Linked DNA regions of Saccharomyces cerevisiae S288C. The protein of the gene in region 2 interacts with the protein of the main gene of each other region in a biochemical or structural test. Each region holds a gene or a part of one and is shown on either strand. Other genes may lie near its edges.

The links.
Region 1: the proteins of UBP10 (region 2) and WWM1 interact in a test that uses a peptide from one of them, tested with the Saccharomyces cerevisiae proteins (one large-scale study listed by BioGRID).

Annotation. Positions count from the first base shown.
Region 1 is NC_001138.5:114,091-117,254, reverse strand, and holds WWM1 (Wwm1p), read left to right. Parts: upstream 1-1,511; coding exon 1,512-2,147; downstream 2,148-3,164. Other genes in the region: SCF ubiquitin ligase complex subunit CDC4, read right to left, coding at 1-1,110; AUA1 (Aua1p), read right to left, coding at 1,981-2,265. UniProt on the Saccharomyces cerevisiae protein: Involved in apoptosis. May play a role in nuclear function controlling cellular proliferation coupled to mitochondrial biogenesis. Causes impaired growth when overexpressed.
Region 2 is NC_001146.8:287,743-294,257, forward strand, and holds UBP10 (ubiquitin-specific protease UBP10), read left to right. Parts: upstream 1-1,755; coding exon 1,756-4,134; downstream 4,135-6,515. Other genes in the region: SWT21 (Swt21p), read left to right, coding at 252-1,325; mitochondrial 54S ribosomal protein uL11m MRPL19, read right to left, coding at 4,451-4,927; YNL184C (uncharacterized protein), read right to left, coding at 4,815-5,141; serine/threonine protein kinase NPR1, read right to left, coding at 5,395-6,515. UniProt on the Saccharomyces cerevisiae protein: Deubiquitinating enzyme involved in telomere and HM loci silencing, which is the repression of chromatin structure which leads to a stop in the transcription of nearby genes.

The DNA.
Region 1 (3,164 bases), on a different chromosome or scaffold from region 2:
AAACTTGGGATTGTACCAATTTTTTAAAATGAATATATTCTCCAGAAAAGATAATCTAAGGCGATCTTGTTGTGAGAGTTTTGGGTATTTTTGGGAGAGTTTGAGATTGAGAGAATTAAAACCCTTTGGGCTCACAAAATTTTCCGATATCAGAAGTTTTTTCCACAACGATGTAGATTTTCTAATTATTTTGTTCCAATTTTGGGAGACCCCAAGGGAATTTATAATATCCTCGAATTGCAAATAATTGAAAATTTTCAAACTTATTTCAAAAGGCAAAGACGTTATTAGGTCCCTCTTTAAATTATCCTTGATTAAAGTCCCCAAGTCGGATAGTTCACTCCTATCCATGTTGGCAACTAATCTAAATAATAAATTTTTGAAGTATGCGTGAGGGAGATTATTGTTTATTGCGCTGAAAATCTCATCAGAAAGGTATTCAGGGGAGATTATAGAATCTTTGGATTCTATCAAATCGGCGATATTATTATTGTTGTTGATAGTTTTCGTAGTTTTAGCTAAAGGAGTTGTGGTACCTGGAGAGGAAGCAGTGGGTGATAACGGCAGCGCTCCTTCCTCCATAGGATTGTTAATAGTAGCACTATTAACATTGTTACTAACATCACTGCCAGTTATTGTTGCCGCATTGACGGTAGTGGGAGCAGCAACATTATGAGATGCCACTCCCATGTTTACACTCAATGTAGAAGGTGCGGCAGAACCATCATCCACAGACATCAAAAGTTTTTCTGCATCGTTGGATATATCTGTTAAATTGTGCAGACCGTCATTATCCACAGACGCTGCACCGGTGTTCTGTAAGTTAACTGGATGGAGGGTTTTGTGATTATCATGTTTTACCCTTTTGAAATCACTGCGTTCAGGAGTGGATTCGCCAGAACCAGCTGCTCTTTTCCTCTGATACTCATCGATATCTTCTTCGCCGTCTTCTGTCTCAACTGTCTTAGCCGTGGACGAGTTTCGATGAGTGCCAGCGGCAGTAACAAGCGCAGTAACACTACCTGAGGAAGCTATACCGCCAGACACACGGTAGCTATAAGGAACAGGGATATCACGTAATGGAAACTCAGCTAAGGGAAACGACCCCATCGTACAGCGTAATTTTTGCCTTTCTTTGATTCTTTATGCGTAATTTTCTTCGAACCGCAACAAGTTGAATGAGGAGAAGAAGAAGAGAATACTGTAAATAAACGTTTTTTTCCCAAAAAAGACACTATATTTTAAGCACACAGAAAAAGACACGCTTTGTTGAGCAATCTATATTCATATAACAGTGGTAATAGCCTTTCTCTCACAAGATATACAAGCGCTGTGACGTTTTAACGTATTCAGTATTATTTCAACAGGCTTTTTTGTTTCGTCCACCTGACCGAGCCGGCAGCTGGAAGAAAAAGTTTACTTTAGTCATGATAATCAAAAGACTCTTTCTGAATTGCTTTTATCACTCACTACAAGAGAGTCGATAAAAAAACCCAAAACATTTTAAAGTAATGGCTCAAAGTAAAAGTAATCCTCCTCAAGTGCCTTCTGGCTGGAAGGCTGTTTTTGATGATGAATACCAGACTTGGTATTATGTAGATTTATCTACGAACAGCTCTCAGTGGGAACCACCAAGGGGAACAACATGGCCAAGACCCAAAGGTCCTCCACCAGGTGTTAACAATGAGAAGAGTTCTCGTCAACAGGCAGACCAGGCTCCTCCACCTTATTCTTCTCAATCAACACCGCAAGTGCAAGCAGGGGCCCAAGCACAGCAACCTCGTTACTATCAGCCTCAACAGCCTCAGTACCCTCAATACCCTCAACAGCAGCGTTACTATCCTCAACAAGCCCCTATGCCAGCAGCAGCACCACAGCAAGCATACTATGGAACTGCGCCAAGCACCAGTAAAGGTAGTGGACACGGCGGTGCCATGATGGGTGGTTTACTTGGTGTTGGTGCGGGTTTGTTAGGTGGAGCTATGCTAGAACACGCATTTGACGACCACAACTATGACGGACCAGACACTGTCGTTGTCGAGAACAATTACTACGGTGATGATGCTGGTGGGTCCGACGGCGGATTTGATGATGCTGGTGGGTTCGACGGCGGATTTGATGATGGATTTGACGGTAGTGACTTTTAATGTTATCAAGACTTTTTGGACAAGGACGATAAAATGATATAAGCTCATCAAATCTATATTGCTTGCTGCCATCTAAATATGGATACATACAGATATATACTTGCAAAGATCGGTCCATTATACTACATAGAAAGCAATTAAAAGATAAAAAAACCCATCATGATATTCTACGCTTTTTTACTTAGCCATGTTGTTGAATGTAGCTTCAATTACTTCTGTCTGTCTAATTTATTGCTACTTTTTCACTTCTAAGTGAACCATCACAACACATATAGCATAGTCGAGAAAAAAATCAATAGCTATTACTAGATGATAGATACCGTATATGCCACCTACAGCTTACTAGAGAGCTTCCGGAATGATAGTATCATTTATCAAACTACCGGTATGGTTGTGTATTGACTGCGCCTCTCAATCTATGAAGCAGCACCACGCCTTATCGTGGCTATGCGCGATATGACCGAGCTTTACAACATACTTTTCAATAAGCCGTTCTTTGAATAATGGACCCTTTCCTATAACCTAGTGCGCGTTTAAGGTGTTTTGTTCCAATAATAGAAGCACCTATCCACATACTTCACATACAGATACACTAACTAATACCACCGATGAAGCGGAAACAATGATAAATGCAAAGCCTTGGAACATCGACAGGACTACCCGAAAATAATATGTGTGTTTACTAACAACGCAGTAATAAAGCTTTCATAACGGTAAAAAGAGGTAAGATCCTGTATAAACTGGTCTCTAGTTACTTATATCTCAAAACATTATATATGTCGATGGTACAAGTTTGACCTTACATTGCCTGATTTTTTCAGAAAGATAGCAGGTAGTTGTTATACTACAGTAATTTACTATAGCTAATCTTCATTTTAAAGTGCCCACTTCTTTTTTTTTTTGAAATTATTTCTGAGTAGTAGCTAGCTTATAAACTACTTATATGCATTTATTCACCGGCGTCGCAAATGTGTCCGTCTTATTTTTTTTAATTTTTTTTTCAATTTGTGACGCCAT
Region 2 (6,515 bases):
TGGACAGACCGCATATTCCATAAACATAGATGGTACAAGGGCATTATGAGTCCTTGAATAGAAAAAATGATGAAAGAATGAATGCAATTCCGTATTGCGACACTGGCGAAGTGTTCGAGGCTGACACGATAGCGAATGTATGGAAAAGAGAAGATAAGGAATGGTTAAAAAGGACTCAAAGTGATCGAAGTGGATACGAGTATCCACGACTAGGAGAATCACCATATATCAATATGACAGACGACTTCAGAATGGAAAAGAAGGTAATATGTCAAGATATCTTTTGGTCATGTGATGGTACATCGTTTGTTTCTGTGCATAATGATTTTGGCATCAGACAATATTTAGTGCCGGAGGAAAGTAATACGGACAAGCTAAACAGAAACCTCCTTCTACCATTTACAAGGTTTTTTAGAAACCAGTCTATTGTTTCATGTGCAATAGACCCGTTTTACACGCTTTATAACGAGAATTCCGACAGGTTAGCTGGTGACAGAATCGTGGTTGGAGGAAAAAACTTCCCTCTACAACTATACTCTTTGATGGACGGGCAGTGTATCCTCAGCTATGACACGATGAACAAAATAAATGGAGAATACGAAACTGTATACAGTGTGAAAATCGATGTTGAGTCTCGTGTATACACTGGCTCATGCCGTAACAAAGTGGCGATATACGACAAGAGCAGACGAGATGCCGTGTGGATGAACCAGAGTACCAAAAAAGCAAGCAAGGGAAGACAAAGCATTATATCTTGCTTTGAAGAGCAACCAATGGGAGGGCAAGCTCTCTCAAGAGGATCTCTATTGTGTGGCAGTTATGCGAATGAAATGTTTCAGGTAGACTGCCGTCATCAACGACTAGAGAGACTGAACTACACCCGCACAGTTGCAGGTGGGATTGTACAAATCCTTACAAGCGATAACGGGCGTTACGTGTACGTTGTCAGACGCAACAGTGACGCGATTAGTATTTACGATCGGCGAAACCTGCAGCACGAGCTTAACGTATTGCGCCTACCGTTTCGGATCCACCACAACTCTGCAAAGTTGAAGGCATATATAGATACGGCTTACGGACTAAGTATGGGGACGCCGCAGGGAACAATATTGAACTGGGGTCGAGACCTTGTGGAATTTGGAGGTGTTCCCTCACACAATAGTGTTGAAGACCCACTAATCACGTCTATCCCGCCAGAGTCAGAGTGGCGCACTAACCTTGATTCTACTATTCCTGCCACGGTAGTGAAGAATTGTCCTGGGGATCCCGAACTGTTCGCCCTATCTCATGGGGGCACAATTTCATTATGCAGGTTCGGCGGCTAAAAACGGCAAACCCGTATTCGTGTATCACCCGGCCAGCTTTCTCCGATGAACGCGCACAAGTAAGAAGTTAAATTGCATCCCCCAGACACCACCTCTTTTGTTCACTTCTTGCCTCATGCCGTCAAAAAATTTTTTTCGCATCGAAAAAAATCCCCAAAAGAAAAGAAAAAAGTTCTTATTTTTATATAGTGCCACCATCGGGAAAAACTTCCCTGTAAAGCATTAACAGAGTCTTCCATCCCCGCTTCTGTCCTTTATTTGTTTCATAGAAGCTATTAAGCATCATATACTGCACACAGGAGCATGCATAGTGTCTGAAGCCTCTTTTGTTCTGTACTGCACATAATATTTCATAGAAAAACTAACGGAAAGAATCTACAACTCATAGTATCTGTAAATCCGTCCTATTGTCATATCACAATCACAGACTATGACCACTCAAGAATCGATCAAACCTTTGGTAGATAGAATCCTATCAAATCCCCTGCAGTTCAATGCTGCAATGATCTCTAACAAATCGAATAATAATGATACTTCCGCCGCGCCGGAAAATAGCTCGTATATTGTGATAGGAAAACAGCATAATAACAATAGTAATAGCACAGCTATTGCTGCAACGGCCGAATCCAAGCAAATAAAAGAAAATAACTTGATAGACAGGCCAAACGGAAAGAAAACCAACACTGTTCCTAAATCTATGGCTGAAGCTTTATTGTTGTATACTTCTAAAAATGATAAAGATGCTGCAGATGCTACTGGTGCCAAGAAGTCAGCGGAGCTTTCTACGGAGCTTTCTACGGAGCCTCCTTCCTCTTCTTCGGAAGATGACAAAGTAGGAAAAGAGGAAGAGGAAGAGGGTGAAATATTTCATGAGGCAAGAGACTATGTAGAACCCCGAAAAGCTAGTTTGAAGGAACGCGACAACGCAGATAAGGGCGATGGTGAAGACATCGGCGAAGACATCGGTGAAGACATCGGTGAAGACATCGGTGAAGACATTGGTGAAGACATTGGTGAAAACTTGGGTTCTCCATTAGCAACCATTGATGATTCATCTAATGAGAATGAAAAGGAAAAAAGAAAGGAACTGTCTACAAGCATTAGCAGTGATGACGAAATAGAAGACGACGAGGATGAGGATGACATGGATTATGATTCTAGTGCTATGGAAAAAGAGCTCCCTGAAGAAGAGGAGAACGATTCCAGCTCCAAAATTTCTGAAGGCGAAAAAAAGAGTTTATATCAAGATTTAATGGAAAATAGTACAGTGGAAGTAAATCGGTACGAACCAGTAAACAACACCAAAGAAAATGGAAACAGGAATCCAAAGGGAGAGGAGGAGGAAGAAGAGGAAGAAGAGCTGAAACATAAATCTAGGTCAATCACCCCTCCGGTTACAATATCAAATCTATCAAACTTTTACCAATTCAATGAAAATATCAATGATCGTGGTTCTTTAAACTCTACTAGAATTGTTAAAAATTGGGGCGACAAATTCACCAATTTGAAGCCTCGTGGCCTTTTGAATCATGGTGTTACTTGTTACACAAATGCTGCTGTACAGGCTATGTTACACATTCCTTCGATACAACATTATCTTTTTGATATACTAATGGGGAAATACGATAGCACCATCTCAAAAAATTCCGTTTCCTATACTTTAGCTGAAACAAGTAAAAAAATGTGGTTACCGGTCTCAAAAAACCCTAGAAAGAACGTTTCAGCTTCCTACATTAATCCAAAACATTTGATTTCCAGATTGGATGACATTAATTGTATGATGAGCGAATGGCAGCAGGAAGATTCACATGAGTACTTCATGTCTCTGATGTCAAGATTACAGGAAGATTCTGTTCCCAAGGGTCATAAACTTATAGAATCGATAATATATGACATATTCGGTGGTCTTTTAAAGCAGATCGTTACTTGCAAATCTTGTGGCAGTATATCTAAAACAGAACAACCATTTTACGATTTATCGTTGCACTTGAAAGGGAAGAAAAAACTTGATCCAAATTCTGACCTGTCGAGTGATAGCATTAACGGCACTTCAGCCACCACTTCTACCACTACCTCCAATGCTGCCACAAAACCATCTCTTTCATCCTCTTCATCTGTCAATTTAAACAATGGCTCACCATTTGCCGCTGCCAGTGATTTAAGTTCAGCCAACCGCAGATTTTCTATTGAAAAATCAATTAAAGATTTCTTCAATCCCGAATTAATCAAGGTTGACAAGGAGCAAAAGGGTTACGTTTGTGAGAAGTGTCACAAGACCACGAACGCCGTGAAGCATAGTTCAATATTAAGGGCTCCTGAAACTTTACTTGTGCATCTGAAAAAATTCAGATTCAATGGCACGTCCTCATCAAAAATGAAGCAAGCTGTTTCTTATCCTATGTTTTTAGATTTGACGGAATATTGTGAGAGTAAAGAGCTACCTGTCAAATACCAACTATTAAGCGTGGTGGTTCATGAGGGCCGCTCCCTTTCTTCAGGTCACTACATTGCCCACTGCAAGCAACCAGACGGTAGCTGGGCCACTTACGACGACGAGTATATTAATATAATATCTGAAAGGGACGTTTTAAAGGAACCCAACGCATATTATCTCCTATACACGAGGCTAACTCCAAAATCGGTTCCATTGCCATTGGCGAAATCTGCCATGGCCACTGGTAATGTTACCTCTAAATCCAAACAGGAACAGGCTGTTAACGAACCAAATAACCGCCCATTGAAGATTAATAGCAAGAAAAATAACAGAAAAAAATGGAAAAAAAATAAAAAAAGGAAGTTCACCAAATGAAAAAACTCGATATTCCTGGATTTTCCTCTTTTCATAGGCATTTTTATTAGCATTTCATTTTTATTATACCAAATCAATATATACATATAAATATCCGGTCTTTATTGACTTATAAAACAACTCTCAGTATACAGAGTTGGAGAAGCGTTTACTCAGAATAGCTTCAGTACTACCGAGCTTTGCTAACATAACGGGAGAAAGAGAATTTAAAACTTATATACATATTTACAGAATAGATCAGTAGAAAGAAGAAGGAAGGTCTGTTGAAAATTTCTCGAAATTGACGGTACTTTTTTGTCTTTTCACTACTTACAGATCAAGGTACAACCTTAATACCCATACTTTTTGCAACGCCAACTATTGATTTAACAATACCTTCCATCTCCAATAAACTATGCCTTTCATCACTCTTTTTTATCTTGGCTATTTCGTAAACGTGCTTCAGCGATAACTCTCCTAAAGCACGGGTTGGTCCCTTGGCAGGTGCACTGCCTAACATTGTCCCCACATTCGGTTGTCCATGTCCCTTGTCCATTTTAAGAGCTTTTAGCAGCAAATATCCGGTTGGTGGAGATTTCATTTCAAACGTAAATGTTCTATCAGGTTTTATTGTGATTAATACTGGAACCGGTACACCTGGCTGATAGTTTGCTGATCTTGCATTAAATTCCTTACAAAAGTCAATGGCTTTTATACCCTTGGAGCCCAATGCGGGCCCCACGGGAGGTGATGGTGCCGCTTGGCCTGCTCCTACTATTAGCTTTACTATCACGTTTTTTGCTGCCTGTGACATTATGGAGACTAATAGTTCCTCTATGGTATTCGAGAGTTCGAAAGTACAACAAACAGAAATAAATACAGAAGGTTACGCTGTCGATTTGAATGTTCACGCTTTTTTTCCTTCTTATGAGTTGTAGATTTACTGCACTTTCTAAAGCTTCTTTGCTGTGAAATTTTAGAAAAGGGAATTGTCGCCTTGGTAAGACAATTAATGTTACCCGCTTCATTATTATTAATTAGTGGCGCGATATTTTAACGAACTTTTCCATTAATTATTATCATACTAAGCTTTTACATTTTTCTGATAAAATAGTAGATTATGAACAGGAGGTCAATCTATTTAGGCTTCTATAGAACGGTAAAATATGAAATTAGTTTAACAGAAGTAAATATGACATTGTATTTTAACATATACTCAAATAGGATAAAAAAAGGTTATATACAAATGCTTGGAAAAGAAATAAAAGTGGGGACGCTTATTTATTGATTATTTTGCTTTTTCTTTTTCTTTTCTAGGCCTGCAATATGTGCTTCACTTTGATCCACTTGTGTGTGATGATGGTCTTCTCCTCTAACCACTTTGAACGATAATCCATCTTCAACCAAGTGGCACATATCAATGCTACGGATCCAAGGATCTTCCATGATTTCTTCGATATTTCCTCTGCATGCGGGCGCCAAATCAATCATACGTCCAACAATATGCTGAGTCTCTTCTGGTAATGAGTGCAACAATCTTTGTGGCCCGATATTAACATTATTAGGATCTGATACATTATTGGAAGAGCTTTCGGGTTTTTTCTTTTCTGTTGAGTGCGATTCATCGTAGGAAGGTGGATCAGGAGTTCTTGTAACCAAGCTACTTAAGGAGTCGCAATCACGTCCGGAACAAAATAGTTTGAATGAATTGTCCCTTAATTTCGGAATTTTCCATGGAAATTTCTTCAGTATCATACATGCAAAAATGATTGCAGAAGACCAAATATCTACGGGACGTGGGTCATACTTCGCAAATATACAGACTTCAGGTGCTAAATATGGATCACTTCCAACAATTCCACTTGCTTCCACAAGATTTTTTGAGAATGGATATGAAAATACCACAGCAGCACCAAAATCGATTAATTTTACAATACCTTTTTCGTTTATAACACAATTATCTAGCTTTAGATCTCTATGAGCTAAGCCGATACTATGCAAATATTGTACACCAGTAAGTATTTGTTTGAAGCAACAACAAATCTCTTCATAGGACATTTTATTACTCATTACAATAGCAAATAAATCGTATTCACAATATTCCATAACTTGGAGAATTCTATCATTTTCATACACGATTTCAATTGTTTCAATGATATTGGGATGATTCAAAGTTGTACCAATACAGTATTCTGATGTAATTTTCTTGACATAATCTCTTTTGGATTCATTTTCAAATTTAGTTCTAAACTCCTTCACTGCAAATATTTTGTTATCTGAAATTCTTTGAGCTAATTTGACAGAACCTCCTGCTCCAGCGCCTAAATCGGCACCGGTTTTGATGTACCTTTTTGAGAACGGAATTCCTGAACCGCCGTGACTATGAGAATAAATAGTATCTC